Linked DNA regions of Mytilus edulis. The protein of the gene in region 2 purifies or fractionates together with the protein of the main gene of each other region. This does not show direct contact. Links are inferred from orthologs where the notes say so. Each region holds a gene or a part of one and is shown on either strand. Other genes may lie near its edges. The genes, in order: complex III assembly factor LYRM7-like; cytochrome b-c1 complex subunit Rieske, mitochondrial-like.

Evidence for each region.
Region 1: the proteins of cytochrome b-c1 complex subunit Rieske, mitochondrial-like (region 2) and complex III assembly factor LYRM7-like purify together in Homo sapiens (co-immunoprecipitation; 5 studies listed by BioGRID and IntAct, with this or other methods). This does not show direct contact. The link is inferred for Mytilus edulis from reciprocal best matches to the Homo sapiens genes UQCRFS1 and LYRM7.

The regions. Positions count from the first base shown.
Region 1 is NC_092351.1:69,225,851-69,237,036, forward strand, and holds the start of complex III assembly factor LYRM7-like, read right to left. Parts: upstream 4,186-11,186; 5' UTR 4,097-4,185; coding exon 4,079-4,096; intron 1-4,078. Other genes in the region: transmembrane protein 232-like, read left to right, coding at 8,764-8,897, 11,034-11,148.
Region 2 is NC_092348.1:54,904,884-54,915,967, reverse strand, and holds the start of cytochrome b-c1 complex subunit Rieske, mitochondrial-like, read right to left. Parts: upstream 5,058-11,084; 5' UTR 4,999-5,057; coding exon 4,800-4,998; intron 1-4,799. Other genes in the region: chromobox protein homolog 2-like, read left to right, coding at 9,606-9,611.

The DNA.
Region 1 (11,186 bases), on a different chromosome or scaffold from region 2:
GTTAAACATGTTTATGAGATCTCAACCCTCCCCCTATACCTCTAGCCAATGTAGAAAAGTAAAAGAATAACAATACGCACATTAAAATTCAGTTTAAGAGAAGTCCGAGTCCGATGTCAAAAGATGTAACAAAAGAAAATAAATAAAATGACAATAATACATAAATAACAACAGACTACTAGCAGTTAACTGACATGCCAGCTCCAGACCTCAATTAAACTGATTGAAAGATTATGTCTTCATCATATGAATATCAGGTACAATCCCTCCCGTTAGGGGTTTCGTATCATACTATCATAAAATATATGAGAAGAACATAACCCGTGTCATGCCAACAACTGTTTTTTTAGAAATAAATGTGTTTAGTTCCGATGCAAAGACCCTATCAGTGAATCAATGTTAAAGCCAAAATATGCAATCTTTAATGACCTGACAACAGTATCGTAACTATATCCCCTTTTAATAAGTCTATTTAAAGGTTTTGTTAGTTTCTGAGGAGAATACTGACATTTTTGTGCTTTATAAAGAATATTTCCATAAAATTTTGGATGTGAAATACCTGAACGTATAAGATGTCTGCATGTTGAGTTATATTTACGAATTATTTCACTCTCTGACGTCATACAACAAAAGGCGTTGTCAAGACGTCGATAACGTCGGATCAAAACAAATTGTCAATGCGTAGGAAAAAGATATAGTTCCTTACATTTTCTACATTAATTTCATAAAAAAAAGACATTTGCCAATGTAATAAAAAGAATAACTAATCGCCGTATTTGAATATCAAAAATAAGACAACTTGTGACCGAACGCCGCTATGGATTAAACTCGTGCTGCGCACTCGTTTAAACCATGCGTCGTTCGGTCACGCGTTGTCTTATTTTTTATATTCAAATACGGCGATTAGTTATACTATAAATATTTATTAGCATATTTCCAAGTTTTAGGAAAACTTAAAAAAAAGAAAGAAAAAGAAAAAAAAAAGAGCTTTGATTCTAATCTATTGTTCTATTTTAACAGGTTGATGTATGACCTCCGATCCCACTTCAATGTTGTGTTTTTTATAGACTTTTTGTTGCTTTGAGGACACAAGATCCATCTATGTATGAAATATTGTCAATTGTTTTTGTTGGTGGGTCTCTCGTTTACGTCTTTGTCACTTTCACTATCAACAATATAAGCCCTGAGCGGTGTTTAGACGTACAGGATCTAGCCAATAATCATGATTGATGATGACAGATACATATACATGTATGTAATACAAGAGATTGGCAACTCAGGCAAATCCCTTAAAAACATGCAGCCACTAGTGCACTCAGGACATTCAAAGTCCACTCAGGACATGAAATATATGTTTTAGTGAGTGGTGACGGTATGCATTCGATAGTTAATTTAAGTCTTCATCTTATAATTTTGGTTTTGATAAAATCAATTTAATATTTAAGAAGTTATTTCATTTTTCATAGGCACGCACCGTTTTTATGAAACATGTCAGACATGACTGATGATTATTTTGAATACCAATTATAATGTTGATTTGGTCGTTTGATCTTTAATAATTAGGAGTGATTAGTGATGGTTAAAACCTGATACAAGTAAGCTTGGCAAACAAGGTGTCTTTAAAAAATAAAGAACAAAGATATATTGTTTTAGAAAAAAAATATTAGATGAACTTTTCGTTTTGTTCGTAATAATTGAAGCCTGATGAGTAATATGAGAAATCTATATATAGTTCATTTTTCAGTTGCCTATAATAATTTTTTGTTTTATCTTGCTATCAGTATATTATAGATTTCGAATTTATAGGTGTCATTTTTTAAGATTTTCGGTAAATTCAGAATCAGAAATGTCATTTCCATCAGTTGGGATGCAATCAGCATCAGTGGATTTTCTTCTGTCCAAGTTTGGTACAAATCCAGGATAGTTTAACATGTTTTAAGAAAGTTATTAAAATTTCAAAAACTTTAACCACACTGAGAGTGAATAATATATAACATTGCATTTTCATGATAAAAACACTGAAAAAATAAACAACATATTGCAAAATGATTTAAATGCTATACAATCATGGTGTAACATTAACAGTATGAAAATCAATGCAAAAAAAACTAAGTGTATGAAATTGGGTTCAAAACAAAAACTTACACAACTAATCAGAATTAGGTATTTCTGTCAACAAAACATGTATTGAGAATGTCCATTCTTTCAAATTACTTGGAATTGACATTGATGAAAATTTAAGCTGGGAAGATCATGTTGATCGTATATCAAAAAAATAAAATAAAATTGAGAATGGAAAGGGGGAATGTGCCAAAGAGACAACAACCCAACCATCATTGACCATAGAGCAGACAACAGCAGAAAGTTACCAACAGGTCTTCAATGCAACGAGAAATTCCTGCACCCAGAGGATATACGTAAGATTATCTCATCTAAAATATCACTTTTATATAAAATTAAAGTATATTTGCCAATACACACAAGGCAACTATTTTATAATGCATATATATTCTACCATATAAAGACTATTGTAGTTCAGTTTAGGGAAATTTATTACAAAAAGATTCAGATAGAATGATTCAATCATAAACTGATAAAACTTCAAAAAAGAGTAGCAAGAATTATACTGGAATGCGATATTTCTATTCCATCTAATTTCATGTTTTCATCTTTAAAATGGCTATCTTTTACCAAAAGAATAAAATACCAACAATCAATTATAATGTATAAAATTGTAAATGGACTAACACTTGATTACTTAGCAAATTCCAAATATTGATGATGTGCAACACCACAACTTTCGATCTGTCTTTAATCATGATCTTTTTGTTCCAACACCAAATACAAAATTTAAAAAAAAAATCTTTTCACTATTCTGCAACCAAAGTATGAAATAATTTACCACTCTAAATAAAAAAATGTTGTGATGTGGAATTATTCAACATGTTCAAGAAACATTGTTATAATAATTTTCTTGAAAATTATATATGCAAGTCAAATAATTTTTATTCCTTTAACAAAACTTGATCAAATATTGCCATTTATTACCATTTGTATATTTCAATAATTGAATTGTGTATACTAGTAATATATATTGTAATATATATTGTATTTTAATGTATGAATGTTAACTGTATGCATGTATTTTTTTTTGAGGGCCTCAATGAAAATTAGACTAGTTCTAATTGAGTTACCCTCTTTAAATAAAGAATTTATTATTATTATTATAATATTTATGGACGCCATTGCAGACGACTATGACAACAACAGAATGTAGGATCACTATGTCTCGCTTTTTCAACTAAAGTCAAAGGCTCAACAAAAATGAAAGGTAAACATGTACCAATATACAATTGTTCAAAATGTTTGAAGATATTAAGCAAAAGCTCTGATCAAGGATGTATAATTAACAGTCTATTATTTGAACTTTGAATTATTTTTAACTATGGAATTTGCTTGATTTCTTGTTATTGAAATTTTTCATAAATTCCATGATTGTTCTGTACTGAAATGTTCTGTGCTGCGTACAACACTTTCTATCACAAAGAAAATAGTATATTTTCAATAGAATGTACTGTGCCGCGCACAACACTATCTAACCAAAATGCATTGCATGGAAAGTGTTATAATACAAAATAAACATGGAATTTATAAAAAAAATTAAACACAAGAAATTATGCGAATTCCATAATTAAAAATAATTCCAAGTTCAAATAATAGCTATCCTGTTATATGTTAATTATACGTCATTGCTCTGATGTTAATGGGAAAACGGTTTTACCTAGTCCAAATAATTATGACGTCATTGGCAAGGCTATTTTTTATTTTTCTGGGACTTTCTGAGACACCTTCCTACAATGTTAATTTTTTCTAGGACGAAATTAAAATAGCCTTGCCAGACCCGGAATAAAACTTATTAAAATAAAAGCACAGTGGAAAGTAAGCTTACATATTGTCTATAGTTTATTATGTGCTTTGTTTTGTCTTAAATGTAGTGTATTAATTCTATTTGGAGACCTTAGGTTATTTGTGAATTCTACTTTAAACAAAACTTTTGACATTGACTTGTCTGCATTACCTTGCTCCTAATTGACATTTTTCGAAGAAAACTCTAGAAGACTCCCAAAGGGATTTTTTTTTTTATCTCTTTGGAGTTTTCCTTGTACAGGATTAAAACCGGAAGTAGTTCTATGGAAACAAACATCATGGAGGGAAACGTATGAAGCTGGATCAGTTTTCTATACAAAATCACGTTTATTTGTAGGTCTTATGAGTTTCAGTTACTCCTAACATCTAGTTAACACAGAAGATTTATTAATAAACGATGTACATTATCAAAAACGGCAATCTTTTGAAACGATGACGGTCGACAAGCATGAGAAGCCGACCTGATCTTAGCTGCGGAACCGTAGCTCTTAGGTCCTTACACTTGGGCGAAGTCAAAATCAATGGTTTCTTGCATATAAACAGGTCAGGAATAACCACCAATTGGTGGATTATACCTCAATTGACGTATAATCCACCAATTGACATATAATGGTATAGAACAATTGGTGTATAATTCTTTGTTTTTCAAAACAAATTATTCGAATCTGGGTCTGTTCGCCCTGATTTATGTTCGCCCTAGTACCTGTTCGTCCTGATACCTGTTCGCTCAGGGTCCATTCGCCCTGATATTTTTTCTTTCTTTCAAATTGTTGTCTAGTCGCATTGTTTTAAGTATTTGAACAAATTATGTTAAAGTTTGTTGAAAAGTTGACAGAATATTTATATTGCCGCAATCAATTTATCATTTTCCCTTTGATTTGCAGAGTAGAATACTGGAATTTATTTATTTTTATTGATATTTTGTTAACAAAATAATTGTATTCAGTCCTCGGGGGGGGGGGGGGGGGGGCACTTCCTATGTAATGACTGGTAGGGATGAGCCGCTGGAATAGGTCACTATTTCATGCTTCATGATATATGAAAAGTGAAAAGGGTGAGAAATTCAGATTAAATATATCAATAGGTTGAAATTATCACTTGCTGGATATATATTATAAGTATCTAAAACTAATCAAATGTTCGTATTTATTTTTGATGCGGTTAAAACTCAGTTGTAAATGCATCAGCTATTTGTCAAACCAATTAAACTCTATTTATTCAATGTGGTATTTCCACTGAGGTTAGAAATAGATGCAATAAATCCAATCATTTTGACATTTCCACCTAATTAACATTGAAAGGATTGCATACATGAAACATTTGAAGAAATTCCATAGCATAGTGTTAGCATCCTTCAAGAGGGAACGACAAATCAGTTTTTAATTAATGTAAACTCAGTAAAAGTGATACTATCTGAAGTGTTACTACATTTATCTGATAAAACAATATGTATTGTCTTTTCAAATTGAAATTTCTTCATAATAAAAGGGGCAAATAGAGGAGTGAAGAATTTATTGGGAAAGCAAGGTGTAATTATTGCGACTGCGTTGCATCTAAACAAAAACGTAAAATGAGCGGGACCTCAAAATTTTTGTAAACTCTAATGTACAAGAAGATGAAAAATATCCAAATATATCTATAGGTCTGTTTTGTGTTCATTAATATATGGCAAGGTATATATTTTTGATAAACGAAATATATGAAAAGGGTGGGGTACTTGATGTCTCAGCTGCTCACCCCTACCCAAAAAAGTTTGAAGTGGCCCCCCCCGAAATTCAGTCAATCACGAATGTATGCAGTATGACTAGTCTTAGAGTATAAATAAATGAACATGTAAGTCGGTTTCATAATTTATAGTTTGTACATCATTGTTTTTATTGATTTCAAGCTGAATATTTTATCTAAACAAAACGTTTGTTTTTATTATTAATCCATCAAAAGACAAGTATCACAATAATCAGTGATCCGAATTATTTTGTCATTGAACAATTAATGATCCTAAACAAGCCATAAACTTTTAAATATTTCAATGTTTTCATAAATTTCAAGAATATACATGATATATATACCATAGAAATATCTGAATAAGTTTATTCAACTTCAATGCCCTGAATATTGATATTTTTATAGTAGGACAAAGGACTCTATGGGCGAACGAACTCAGAGCGAACGGACCTAGAGCGAACATGTTATTAGGGCGAACAGTCCCGATACCAAATTATTCCACCAAAATGGAGCATTGTTTTCTTAAAACCATATTGGTATGAAAACTTGTCAAACATTACTAGTTTAGTATTGTAACATAACATATTGCATTTATTTGAAGTTTCTTCTTTTGTTATCTTGTCAATTCTTGATTGGCAAATTTACCTGTAATCACCTGTCAATGGACATCATTACTGTCTGCAGTCATGTGATCATGAGTACAACTCAAAAGGTGAATGGGGCTCTTTGTTAAATACTTAACTTTCATTATCAAAAGTCAATCATGGTCAATAGCACAAATGTTTCAACAAAAGAATTGTTGTACACATGCATTCTCAAGAGATGCAGCAGGCTTAGACAAAACTGAAACTTTCGTAGGACTCGATAAGGGTCATGAAATAGGTTGCAAGTTGCAAAATCATGCTCCTATCTCACACTAGCATTTAATTACAAAAAACTTGCATTATACATCAATTGGTGCCAATTTGGTGGATTATACATCAATTGAGGCCATAAAAAAGAATAGGTTTGTTTGCCCAAACCCTACCTACTCAGAAAAAAGCTGCCTACTCAAATTCTTTTATTGTCCTGATTTGAAGAAGTTTTTTTTTAATCAGAAAGGCATGAAGACTAATAAACACCCGATACTTCAATTTTGTTTTTTTGAAGAAAAAAAAGAAAATGCCTACTTACCTACCCATTGTCTCAACATTTGGGTAGGGGTTGGGCAAACCAAAATATTTTTAATTGTGGCCTGAGGTATAATCCACCAATTGGTGGTTATTCCTGACCTGATAAAGCAATATTGATGAATGATCAATCATGCTGATAATTTTACTGAATAAATTAATTTCAAATGATGTGGCTTGATACATTATTTATGTAGAATATTACCGCAAAAAACATCTCTTAAAAAGCTCAAGTATTAATAATAAATGGTAAAATATAATTTCTTTTGGGTGTATCCATGGCAATAAGGCCAAATAAAAATATATGTGTGGTTCCAGTAACCCTACGTACCGTCCCTACTTTTTCGGCTGAAAAATAGCCTACCCTAAAGGTTTTATTGTCATTTTTCATTAAGCACTGTTAAAGTCAGAATGTTGCTCCCATAGACTCAATGTAAAAAAAAACATAAAATAAAAAAAAATCCCTACCTACCTACCCTAACTTTTTTTCAGATGTAACTGGAACCACACATACTTTTTTATTTGGCCTAATCTGCATTTATGTGTTATAAAATATTACAAAAAGGGGGGAAAAGATGTCACATATTTCCCCAAAATTTGGCTAAAAGTAGAATTTCAATTGCTAGAGATAATACCTTAAAATTCTGAAACTGTGTACATATATCATTCAGCAAATCCAATGAAAATACAAATCCTTGGTCTTTCGTCTCGTTTTTTTTGTAAAATTGCGTCAAAAACTTCGTGTAGAAAAAAGTGTTTGTAAACATTACATTAATTTCTGGACCGATGGCCAGTCTTGCTATGAAAATACAGATTGTCAAAAATAAAATAGCCCTTAAATCATGTAAAAAATAATCTTGATGCTCTTATAAACCATCTTTGAAGGCTAAATTAGCACTCAGCTGCCTAAAAATGAATTTTATTACACAATAATGTTCCTATTTGAAAAATTCACCGGGACCAAAATGCAAAAATATACTCCTAACTGTGTATTGCTACCATCATGAACATAGACAATTTATGTAAAAAAAACAAATAGGACAGACATGAAACAAACATTGTATTAGAAAAATATGAAATCAATTTGTATGAACTTTAAATTCAGGATGAAAAGCCAGGGCAGGTTCATTGAGCCTTTTCTGCAGTTTCCTAGCGAGTACAAATTCATTCTGTATTTTATACATATATATTGTTTTTATCCTGCAATTTTTACCCAGCACTTAAACCTTTAGATTGTTAAATCCAAAGTATTGTCTCAGAGTTTTTTGAAAGAAATGGTCATAGCTTTAAACATGTTAAACTGGTACTGTAAAAGCACCCAAAAACATGAAGAACTAAACTTTTAAGTAAAAAGAAATATCAACATGAAACGTAAAACAGTAATTATTATTTCATCGAAAATAACTCGAGTATTGCTGTATTGTAACGATAATATAGAATTACTTTAAAAGTTAAAAAGTAAAAACTTTTAATATTTCCTGTAAATAAATATCGTATCGTAATTCCGAATTCATTTCGTAGTTTACAATTAAATTGATACATCAGCGTTTCCGGTTTCTATTCCGACTTGAAAGATGCATGTTGCATAGCATCGATTTGCTAGATAAAGTCATGGAGGGATGAAACATTGTTGATCGCGCTACGCTGTACAGCGTAGATACGGTTTATGATGGTGAAAGTTCCTCCATCGTTCAATTTTCATCCATGGAGATCCCTGAGCTTATTTGTATTTATAAATTTTGAATCTGTTTTTATTGTGTATGTTTGATATGAACGTATATATGTTTATTGTGTTCATTGTGTTAATATATGTTCGTCACAAACTGCATGTAAAGTTTATACGACAATAAAATATTTGATTTGATTTGATTAAAACCAAATGAATATTGATTTAAAAATATGTTTGTTATCTTATTTTTTCCAGAAACTGTAAATCAAAACCATGCCGATTACAAAGATTCCAATTGTTCACAAGTTTGGTATTATATCACATAGTCAAAGATTAGAGTTACAGGAACGTTTACTCAAACAGTCTTACCTGCAGAGTGTAGAAAGTCAAAAAGTTTTACAAACAAGGTAGAATATTTATTGTTAGAAAGTACTGTAAACCAACTTATTCTTTCAGATACCATATTTCATGTTAAATCATATCTTGATGCAATTAATTCTATTATATGTTGTCTTTTTTTTTAAGTTTTACAATTTGTGCATAATAAGTAACCCTGTGATCTTACTGCTTAAGTAGTTTTATTAACAATTTCATTCTACAGTCTTCATATTCTCACACTTAATTAGATGTGCATTTATAATGTCAGAATGCGCATTTATAATGTCAGAATGCGCATTTATAATGTCAGAATGCGCTATCTATGGACAAACTCTTTGAGGTAATTTTTTAGTTACAACAAATTGTAATTTACAAACAAAAGAACTATGTCAATTGGGCCTGCTTTGATACTATAACTGCGTTTGAATTTTTACTCCATAATATTTGTGTGTGCTATATGTGGAGATTTCGTAAATCATTGTATATCATCAAGTTATCAGAATTCCAACTAACTGTGTACCGCCTATTGCAAACCTGTTTCTGTATTGTTATGAGATATAATTTATGACCAAAATCAGCAAGACCAATCCAAACAATATCGAATACAAAAATTTAATATCACTTTCAGATACATTTGGATGATCATGACTATATATACATTGACTCTCAATATTGACGACTTCAGTAAGCACACTAAAGAGATTTATCCAATTGAACTGACTTTAAATAAATTTAATACTAACAACGAACACTGCCCTTTCTTGGATCTTTTATATCTTTATCTTTAACAGGAAACTTAATACCCAAATTTACACAAAATGTATGATAAAAGAGATGATTTATCATTTCCTATTGTTTTAAAATATCCATTTTTAGATGGTGACGTGACCTAATTTGTCACCATCAGCCAAAAACAATCAACTGAAAAAAGGGATTTAAGATATAAGCTTTATTAACCAGATTTTTGTGAAAAAAGTGTCGGTTATTGATTTGGGGATGTATGGCCGGGCGGCCAGTCGGACAGGGGCAGCCAAATGTTGTCTGTGCATTTACTCATGAACCGTTCAACCAAAGCTTTTCAAATTTTAATATGCTGTTACTGACAACAAAATGGAGGTCAAGTTCAATATTTATGATTTTGACTTTTACGGTTCTGGAGTTATCTGGTCCTAGAAAGATTGAAAAATGACGCTTCCAGTCCTGTCCATGCATTAACTTATGAACTGTTCAACCAAAGCTTTTAAAATTTTATTATGTTGTTACTGATGACAAAAGGGAGGTCAAGTTTAATAATGATGATTTTAACTTTTACCATTCAGGAGTTATGGTTCTTGAAAGATTGAAAAATGGTGTTTCCAGTTGTGTCCGTGTATTTACTCATAAACCGTTCAGCCAAAGCATTTAAACTTCAAATATGTTGTTACTGATGACAAAATTGAGGTCAAGTACAATAATGGCAATTTTCATTTTTCTATTCTGGAGTTATGGTTCTTGAAAGATTGAAATATGTGTTACCAGTCATGTTGTTGCATTTACTCATGAACTATTTAATCAAGCCTTTCAAATTTTAATATGTTGTTACTGATGACAAAATGGAGGTCAAGTTTGATATTGATGATTTTCACTTTAACTGTGCATCAGTTATGGTTCTTGTGATATTTAAAAATAAATATTAATAAATCCTGTTTGATGTCGCTCTGACAGCCTCTTGTTGATTTCTAGTATGCAATATTGTAAAGTAGTCATTATTAATGATGAACGTGGATCCAGGTGAGAGACACAGGCTCTTTAAAGCTTTTTGTTATTATCCTTGTCATGTTTATTGCAGCAGAAATTGTAACCTCAAAATAATGTGTTTACAAACTTTACAATGAAATGTTTATTGTCATAATACATGACCTGTGAAATAAAGTATGCATTAACATTATGTGACAAACAACTAAAAAAAATGGGCCATCGTATGCTGCTAGTAATGAATATGTTGAATAGTCAACTTTAACCAGAAAATCATTTGTATTGCAAAATGGAAAATGGTTGTTGTAGGATCATACTTCATCTCAAATCTTTATCCTGCTTTTTTCTTTCACTGCACAGTTCACGTGAAGTTTGTTTTCTCTGAATAATGGTACATGTATGATTTAAAAATAAAACGATATCATTTTCAGTCGTAATCCATTAGAAGTTACAGAGGAATTTGTATACCAGTACAACAATGCTAAAACATTGGATGAGAGAGAGAAATACGAGGCTACAGCTCACAAAATGTTGGAAAGATCTAAGGTAATACTGTTGAAGCTTACAGAAAGGTCTAAAACTTT
Region 2 (11,084 bases):
AACTATTGCTGTACTTTCAATGTAAATTGAGGCAGGTATAACCTGTGAACGACGAACAAGTCTGTTAGCTACAAAAATGTACCCATGGAAAAGAATTTTTTTTTTAATTAATAAAATCATTTTGATTCATTAAGACATGCTGACATGTATGGTGTACTTAACAAAACTTTTTTATAAAAAAAAAACCATTTTGTAAATAATTTAACGTCGATTTCTTCAATATGACAAAACAAGTTTGAATGGGATAGACAACCACACTGTCCAGAGTCCAAAGAATCAATAAGACAATATACAATAAAATAAAATTGAGAATGGAAATGGGTAATGTGTCAAAGAGACAACAACCCGACCAAATAAAAAACAACAGCAGAGGGTCACCAACAGGTCTTCAATGTAGCGAGAAATTCCTGCACCCGGAGGCGTCCTTCAGCTGGCCCCTAAACAAATATATACTAGTCCAGTGATAATGAACGCCACACTAATTTCCAAATTGTACACAAGAAACTAAAATTAAAATAATACAAGACTAACAAAGGCCAGAGGCTCCTGACTTGGGACAGGCGCAAAAATGAGGCGGGGTTAAACATGTTTGTGAGATCTCAACCCTCCCCCTATACCTCTAACCAATGTAGAAAAGTATACGCATAACAATACACACATTAAAATTCAGTTCAAGAGAAGTCCGAGTCTGATGTCAGAAGATGTAACCAAAGAAAATAAACAAAAATGAAAATAATACATAAATAACAACAGACTACTAGCAGTTAACTGACATGCCAGCTCCAGACTTCAATTAAACTGACTGAAAGATTATGATTTCATCATATGAACATCAGACACAATCCTTCCCGTTAGGGGTTTAGTATCATACCATCATAACATATATGAGAAGAACATAACCTGTGTCATGCCAACAACTGTTTTTAGAATAAATGTGTTTAGTTCCGATGCAAAGACCTTATCAGTGACTCAATATTAACGCCAAAATATGCAATCTTTAATGACTTGACAACAGTATCGTAATTATATCCCTTCTTAAAATAAGTCTATTCAAAGGTTTTGTAAGTTTCTGAGGTGAATACTGACACCTTTGTGCTTTATAAAGAATATTTCCATAAAAAATTGGATGTGAAATACCTGAACGTATTAGAAGTCTGCATGTTGAGCTATTTTACGAATGATGTCTTTATACCGATGATAAAATTTAGTAAATGTTTTGACTAGTTTGTGATATCGAAAACCCTGGTGTAATAATTTTTCAGTAATACATAAATTTCTCTCGTTAAAATCTAAAACATTGTTACATACACAAGCGAATTGTACAAGTTGAGATATATAAACACCGTAAGATGGTGACAAGGGAACGTCACCATCTAAAAACGGATAATTAACGATAGAAAATGAAAAATCATCCCTTTTATCATAAATTTTAGTATTCAGCTTTCCATTAGTGATAAAGATATCAAGATCGAGAAAATGGCAGTGGTCATTGTTAGTATTAGCTTTATTTAAAGTAAGTTCAACAGGATAAATCTCATTAATATACATACTGAAGTCGTCATTATTGAGAGCCAAAATATCATCCAAATATCTAAAAGTATTATTAAATTTGTTTATCAGATGTTGTTTCGATGGGTCTTTGCTTATTTTGTCATAAATTGTAACTCATAACAATACAAAAACAGGTCCGCAATAAGTGGTGCACAGTTGGTCCCCATTGGAATTCCGATAATCTGACGATATATGGAATCCCCAAAGCGAACAAAAATGTTATCTAGTAAAAATTCAAGGGCATATATAGTATCAAAGCATGTCTAATTAACATAGTTTTTTTGTTTATTGCTACTAAAAAATGACCTAAAAGAGTTTGAACATATATATTCACATTCTGATTTTTTGAATGCCCATTTAATTAGATGTGTGAATTTTTTCTTAATGAGAATGTGAGGCAATGTGGTATACAGGGTAGAAAAATCAAAACTTTGAGGCCACAATTAAAAATATTTCAGTTTGCCCAAACCCGACCCATGATGACTGGGTGTGGGTAGGTAGGTAGGCAAATTCTTTTTTTTTTTTTTGGTATCAGAATCTGCATGAAAATATTAAAAGATCTTAAAACAGTATATATTTTTTTCCGTCAAACCTTTGTAGAGAAAACCAAAAGCCATGAATTTAAAACCTCTATAAATAAATTAGTCTACTATATGATTTGTATCCTGAGATGTTTATAACACTGACAATTGCTAGCTGTGTGAAAGGGCTGGTGGATTTATGAAGTGATTTTCAACAGTTGCATCAACACGATGTTTGTGTAAAAAAAATATCAGCTGATTATACACGTAATGATTAAATTTGTTTGCAGTTTTTAAATCCTATTTCTATTTAAATAGATTAAATGTCCTAAAATATTTATATGAATTATTATCTACCATCCTTAGTTTGTGTCTTTTTTATGTTTTGAAAACAAATTTGTATTTACATTATCACACAGGTAAACTAATTTGGCTATAAATAGATCAAAGCATGTTCTGTAGAATCTCCAAACTAAAAACGTATTTGTTATAATTTTATTTCTTTAAAAAATCAAGTTTAAGTTTTTGAAAATAATCATTATTGATAAAATATAATTGCATAAAGTTAACGTTTTCTGAAGACTATTTATTTTTAGGTCATGGTTCTAGAGCCTTCCTCACAAATTTGTATAAAAATCCAATATGGCGTCCATAACATGTTTTTACTTTTGCACATGTGAAAAAAATATTTCTGTCAAAAGTCAGATTTCTCTTGTCAAAAGGGATTTATATTGCAATAAATTATTCAGAGGGAGTTACATTCAGTAAAGATTATATTTCTGATTCTGTGAACAATTATAGTTTTATCAAATTCTCCCAAACAGCAACGTACTGATCTTGTCTAATGAGACTTGTAAATTTGAACTATTTGAATAAAAGGGCATCTAATTTACAGATAAAGAAAGATTATAATTAAAGACAACAATTTATCAAGAAATAATTCCTTTTTATTCAGTAAAAACAAAATCTTCTTGCAAGATTGTAAATTCGCAACTTCCGGATCCATTTCCTGTCAGAATAACATTGAAAATATTCGATTGCACATGGTTTTGAACAAATCTACCTGAATATTCTTATCAGATATTCGATAACACGATGAAATTAACATTGAGCATATAGTTAAGGGTTTGGTAGTACAGACAACTACAGCGTTAAAAAAACTGTGCCTCTTCACATGTTTTACTTTTACGTTCGTTCAATCAGAAGATAAAAACAGAGAACATCGAATATCGATTAACTGCGTCTTTTAATCTTATTCACAGTTACTTTCAAACGCAAAGACGACAAACATTAAGGTTTGTACGATGACGGAGCGGACCCAAAAAAGATCCGAAAAAAAAAAAATTCTTCAAAAAAACGTCAAAAAAAGAATTTGAGTCGGCGGGTTTATTTTGGGTCGGTCGCGTTTGGGCAAACATACAATCTTTTTATTTTGGCCTGAACAGATTCAAAATCACCAATATAAGCATGCAATTTATCAAGTACTTCCAACGAGTTCTTAACACTCCAAAAGTAATTTATTCCACTATTTTCGAAGGCCTTATTTGAACAATTTATTATAAGGTTTTTAATTGTACCAAGTGTGCTGGTAAGAAGAATAGACAATTTAGTAGTTGAACAATGGCTTGAAGACGAAATAAATCTATATTTGTAAGGGGTTTTGTGTAGCTTCGGAAGCCAATACATAGTTGGGACTTTCATTGTATTTGGCTCTGCTTGTAAAGCGGTGGCTAAAAGTTTATGTTTGTTACAAATTTTGTTTTCTGAAAATGGAGTCAGTTGGAATGTTGGTGAATTGGTGATTTCCTTTTTCAGAACCTCAATGTAAAATTTACGTCAAACAATAATAATATTATGGGGACGAAGTCCCCAATAACAGTAGAAAATTCAATAAAAAAAAAAAAAATCGGGAAAATTTCCCGAATTTTTCATTGTACTAATGAACTCAAAATCGTTCAAATCTTTTTTTGTCGCCTTTTTGAAATCCCGGACCTGCGCAGAAATGTACAATGTACTTCCTTTTTCCGGTCTCGTTTGTATGAAACTTTGAGTAAAATATATATTTATCAGTAGTATAAAATAGGAAGGAACGCGCAATACCAATTTCATTTTTAATAATTCCTTGATATGAAAAAACTTTACCTGATGACAGCGTTTCTTTGTTTACATTGCACATGACGTCATAATTTAAATAACATCACAACTACAATCCCTAACAACAGAACCAAAATCGGAAACGTTACGGTATTTCCGGTTTTTTTTTTTAACAAATATTTAAGTTACAAAAAAATAATTCATACAGACTTCGTCCCCATTTACAGGTAATGCCTGCCTCATATTATTAGCAGCTTTATCGGCTGGGACAAAAACACATTCCTTGGCTAGTTCTTTTAGTTTATGTTTGATACGAGAAAACCAAGACAACGGAAGTTTACAACTGTGAGTCATTTCTCAATAAAACTGGTTAGGTTCCTTGCATTATATTAAAGTTATTTAATTTCTTTTATAGAAAAGTGCCTGAGAATAATTTATGGGCCAGCTATTAAATAAACTGTATGCCTCGCATTATCTGATTATCAGCATGTTAAAATTGTTATGTCAGACTTATGTACAAAATGTATTGAAATAGTATTTGTGAGAGCATCAATTTCTATAATTAAACAAATAATTAAATATAAAAAGAAACAAAAATATCAGAATTGTGTGTGCAACGATCAATGTACTTACTACACCAGTTACTTGAAATTTTGACTGCAGACTTCGGTGCCAACTTATGTAACGTATAAGACGATTTCTTATCGTGTTGGGACGGTTTTAATGACACAACTTCTGGTGCCAGTGAAGCTGAAGGTAGAATCGGTCTTGTTATTTTCCCTATCATTTGTGAAACTGCTGGCATAGCAGCGGATTTAGGTAGGGAATACATATCCCAAAATTTTGTCCAAAATTCAAGGTGACCGGAAGAGAATTTATTTCGGTAGTTGCTCTCGTATATATCCGAAAATTAACAACTAACAATCTATTTTGGTGTCTTATATAAACAGTATTTACTTTTATTCAAATCTAAGTGTAATTAATCAACCTTATTTCGACACATAATAAATAAAAATTCAAAATATATTTTACGACATGAGTTTTTGGGTAGAGTAAAATGAATATAAATCCGACTGAGGATTAAAAACACAAAAAAGTCCCGGAACATCATATTCCGGGAATGAACAATTCATCGACAACACAATACAACACATCTAAATCTGATTATACACTAACGGTTACTATGTGTGATATGAAATCATTTTGCAATAAAAGCCTTACCATGTGTCCTTCTTTCCATTCCATCCTCTTTTCTTTTTCCCAGATCTTTCCAAACAGCTCATACAGCATTTGAGTTGAAGTTTAAATGTCTGCTTTCTTTATTTCTTCTGAAGTCGATGGTCTTTTACAGTCCATTGCCAAAAGCTCTTCCGAAGGTTGAATGCCAGCTTTATTTACAGGTGGGTCCTGGTTTAGCACATCCTTGAAATGCCCCACCCATCTTTTCATTTGCTCTTCATGTGTGCATGACGAGTGTTTTCCCTTCTTTGCTTTTGACTGGTCTACTTCCTTTCTGGCATTTCCCCGTTAGCAGTTTTGTCATACAGAGCTTTGATGTTGTTTGCTCTAGCTGCTTCTTCTACTCTGCTGTCAGGTTTTCTACAAATGCCCTCTTATCTCTCCTTGCACTGTTCCTGACATCCTTGTTAGCTATAGTTGATATACTCTTCAAGTTCTGATATGCTAATTGTTTTGCTGATCTTGTTTTGCTGTTGTTCAGGATATTTTTATTTTTTATTTTTCCATTCTTCCACTTTTACATGTGTTTCTGGCGTTATCCATTCCTTGTGTTTTCTATTTTTTAAACCACCTGATGTTTCGCTAGCTGTCGTGATAGCTTTTTGAATTACTTGCCAGTGATCTTCTATTGAAACTGTTTCCTCTATTGCATTCTTGGAGCGATTTTTTGGAATTCTGGAACATTTGGAACTCTATTTGGAATTCCGATTTCTTTTTTGCCAACATTGATATTTTAAACCGTTTCCTATTGATTCAATATTTTGGTGTTTCTTTAGCTTCAATTTGACTTTTGCTATAATAAGATGGTGGTCAGTGTCAGCGTCGGCTACTCTTTTAACTTGGACATATTGTAAACTACTCCTAAACTTCTTGAAGATGCAGACATGGTTTATTCGATTTTCAGTGTTCATGACTGGAGATATCCATGTTGCTAGATGACATTTTTGTGTGGGGGAAAACTGTTCCACCAATGGCCAGATTGTGATTTGCACAGTGGTTGACAAAAAAATCTCCATTCTCATTCATTTCTCCTAGCCCATGTCTTCCCATCACTTGTTCATAACTGGTGTTGTCACTTCCTATCTTAGCATTTGGGTCTCCCATTAAGATGGTGATGTCTTTGGAGCTACATTTCCTGGTGGTTTCTTCAAGCAATCGATAGAATCCTTCCTTGATGTCGTCCTTTGCGCCATTTGTAGGGGAATAGCATTGGATGATGTTTAATGATATATCCTTTTATGTGTGGTCTTGAATTTTGCCATGATGATTCTGGCACTTATTGGCTCCCAGCCAATTAATGTTTTCTGAGCTTTTTTTGACAGAATAATGGCAACTCCTTCAGAATGTTGGGTGTTCTCTTCCATATGTCCAGAGTATATAATCACTTCTCCTAATGTTAGTTTTGATTGTCCTGCATCATTCCATCTTGCATCAGCTATTCCTAGTAAACCTATTTCATATGCCTTCATTTCATTGGCGATGGTTTGTGCTTTTCCTGGAACGTACATAGATCTCACGTTTCATGTTCCTATCTTTGTTGCGGATTTAGAGTTCAGAAGTCTCAGTTGTGTAGCTTCCTTTCGGTTTTGGCCATCCAACGTCATTCTCCTTCTATGTAAAGGTCTTCTTTCTCTTTCATCCAAGGTTCGTAAATTTTCGTTTCGTGTTTCTGTAATCCGCTTTCACCTCCAAGCAGGACATTAGCCTACCTTAAGGTTCCAGGTGGGTTTTTAAAGGCATCTTGCATGCAGCTTTCCACATACGAGTCACTGGCCGGTGGGGAATTGTTTGCCCTCCTACGCCCTTTGTCGTTGTCGCTTGACAGCAATCTTCCACCGGGGCAGTGATCTCCCCACTATTTGTCCAAAAGCTGGAGTGGTTGTCTTGAAAGGACTAACGCCGTGATGGTTACCACAACCTGTGATTTGAAATCAGAGTTTTCCTTCTACTAGACAGGCTGCCTACCTAGGCTCACAAGACCCATCTTCCCGTCGCCCTTGTAGTTTTGCCTAAGGCCTTTTGGTGCTCAGTATTCATCTGTTACCACGGAAAGGAACTAATGATAGGACTTGATGTGGAGAGGCTATGTACTGACAGGGAGAGACTGACTAACTGCTTACCTTTTTACATTTCTGTTAGCAAGCGGCGCTGAAAGCGAGAGATGACAAGGCGAAGCACACAGATAAAAAAAAACACAGAACACTAGACGCATCACACAACATTTATCACACAGAATATCTCATACAGTTTATACGATATCTTTAATACTTTATGAGCAATATCTTCTTTTAAAAGTTTAAAAGATACCTTATAAAGTATAGAACAGAACAGAACAGAACATATTTTATTTCCAATTAAGGGCCCACAAGGGGCATACAGAGCATACATGAATAAGGAAAAAGAATATTAATTTGATAGATACATACAATGTAGATACAAACATTATTTTACATACAGTAACAATACAATTACTAACTCATATTCACTTTAATAAATTTACCAACAGCATTAAGGACCTGATTGTCTTCACAGTTTAATAAATAAATAAATTTATGCTGATTATCCAGTAAAGAAAAATTTGGAATTCTTTGGCAAACAAAGTCAAAGAGAGCATCTCTATCTGATTTAGAATTTTCACAGTTAGTTAAAAAATGGATTTCATCTTCAACACAGCCAGAGGAGCATTTTTTGCAAATTCTTTCATTTCGTGGAATATTTGAAAAACGTCCAACTTCAATTTGAAGCTTATGAGCAGAAATACGTAATTTGCATATAGATCTTCTTAAATCAAAGTCCTTTATTAAAGAAAGATAATTTTCATAACCAAAATTCTGCTTAAATTTCACATAATTAAACAGTTTTCCATCAGAAGCTTTATTTTGGCTAGCATACCAATTGCTAATATATTTAGTGTGAATTAATTTGCTAGATATGTTCAAAAATTTATATTGTCCAAAATGTTTTACTTCTGGTTTAATTTCAAAAACTTCTAATACTTTCTTAGCAAATGAGTACCAAGAAGTTATGTTAGATTTGTGAAGCTCTTGGCTGCATTTATAAGCATCTTTCAATAGACTGAATTCAGTTGTAAGATTTTCAAATCTATACCAGTATTTTACAATTGACTTTACAATATCATAATGTAAGGGGAAACGCCCCAGTTCTGATAATACAGCAAAATTGACACTCCTTTTGTGTACACCAAGTATAAACTTAGAAAATTTAAGATGGAGATTCTCACACTTAAGATTTTTAAAAATATTTTCAAGATTAAATAAGGAAGACTGTAATTTATTACAAGAAACATTATAACCTCCCCATACCTCTGAATTATATAACAGAATGGGTTTAAGGGTATGATCAAAAATATGAACACAAGATTTTATTCCAGGAGACAAATTGATAAAATCCTTTCTAAGTTTATAGTAGGCCTTAAGAGCCTTATTATAAAGTTCAGTTTTAGCTAGATGAAAACTTCCAGATGCAGTAAAGTGAACACCCAAATATTTGTAATGAGCGACACAGTCAATCAAGTTATTCTGCAGTCGAAAATTCGCTTGAATTTTCCTTCCAGCCTTATTAAAAATTATGACTTTAGTCTTTTTAATATTAACTTTAAGGCACCAGTCAGCACAATATTTTTCTAGCTGATCAAGTCTACTTTGAAGCCCTGTGGCTGATGTTGACATAATCACAATATCATCTGCATACATCAAACAATTTAATTTCTCGGAGTGCAGGGAAACTGCATCCAGGCAGGAGTCAAGATAAGATATATGATATACTAGTATCTTATAAATATTTTTATATAAGATAGCTAGTATAATTTCTGAGATATCTTATATAGTTTATATGATATAGTTTTTTGTAATAATATAATTTACCGGCATATTTCTTCCATTTTACCTATCCTTTGAAGTTTTTACACCTCAAAATCATAAAACGGCGAAATTGTGTCCCTGGCGAATATGAGCGCCCACTTTATGTCTCTGCAAATCGTGATTGAAGAATAAATTTGGTTCGAATTTCGAAAACTGATTTCACAATTCTTTTCAAAATGGTCCAAGTATTCTTAAAATTGATTTATTTTTTTTGGTCCGAAATATCCTAATCTCGCTTCGAAATGTCCGCGACTGAATCTTTGTTTGCTAAATACTTTACCCATTTGCAAAGCACGACGGGAAATCGGGAAATTTAAACATGGAGGTTTGTATTTCAAATTTTCAAATATCCGATACTCTTACTTGATGTTTAATTCTTTGACTTTGGGTTTCTTATGTAGTACTTTAGTCATGTTAATGATGATTATTACCAATAAAGGAAGCCAAAACTTATATTGCATTTGATATACTTAAAGCACTTGAGCCACTTTCACTTTAGCGTCCCCACGCACCTGACTGTGAGGCTGACAAGGTTGTAAACAAATCTGCCGAAGTATTTTTTTGCTTATTTTCTTTAGAAATATTATATGCTTCCAGTTACACCAGTCATAACCATACTAAATGGGCGTGTGGGACAATTATATTATTCAAGACATTCCAAATACTATATATAACGTCATGAACAGGTTGTGCTTGTGGCTGTGGATAAACACCCACTTGGGTCATTGTTATTGACATTATGCATAGTATACCTGAATTGTCAATTTTCAGTTCTGCAATTCATCTACATTGTTGTTTAATGCTATGATGACCAGAGTCTGTCCAAATAATTAGGAAGTCTGGCAAGGCTATTTTTTTTCTCAATTAAACCTTCCTACGACAGTCACATGTATGATGTCATGAAGCTGAAGCTATATTTTACTTCTGGACTTTGAGAATGAATTTGGGGGGGAAATTTGAGACACAATTTAAGGTTGAAATCTTCATAGTGGGCCAGAAATTTTTGCAAGGTACATGTAACCATGGAAGTATTATATTGACAGGAACTACTACGACCAGACTTCAAACGTTTCATCTGTGATGCCGCGCGCAATTTAATGACATGTTAATTAGCTTGAAACATGGCACGTTATTTTCATACCAGCGTGTGGTGACCTACAATATTGTCATTATCGGTTGCTTTCGGGATTACAGAAATAAACGAAGAAATCGAATGTTGTGATAAATTCTTAGGAAACAGCAATCGGCAAACCTCGGCAGATTCCGCTACCTTACATCTGCATATGTGTGCCGATTGAGTGATTGATAGATTAATTCGACACATCATTAATTCTATAGAAAAACACATTGACGATGGAAATTTGTACCAAATTTATTGAATAAATGCCCCATTTTTATTGATTTATTTTTCGGTAGAAATTGGACTAATAGTATATGTAATATATATCGCAAGTTGTGATTATATAATAACTACTGTTAACTCCACTGAGTGGCACACATTTCCTGCATATTTAAGACGATTGTAAATGATCGTTCTGATAAAATCAAAAGATCAAAGAGATTTTAGATAAATGTAGGAATTATTAAGTTTCGCTCTAAATCCAGGTTAAGATCATTGGTTGGTATATACGAATGTTCAGCTGAACCCTGATGTGTTGTTGAAAATTTTTTTAATACTGCGACTCAAGGATTTGTATAGTGACATTATACAAATTCTTGTGCGACTGTTCAATAATATTTACCAGTATCATTTGGACGGTTTCATTTGGTCGGATAGTGATAACATGTTTTAGGGGAC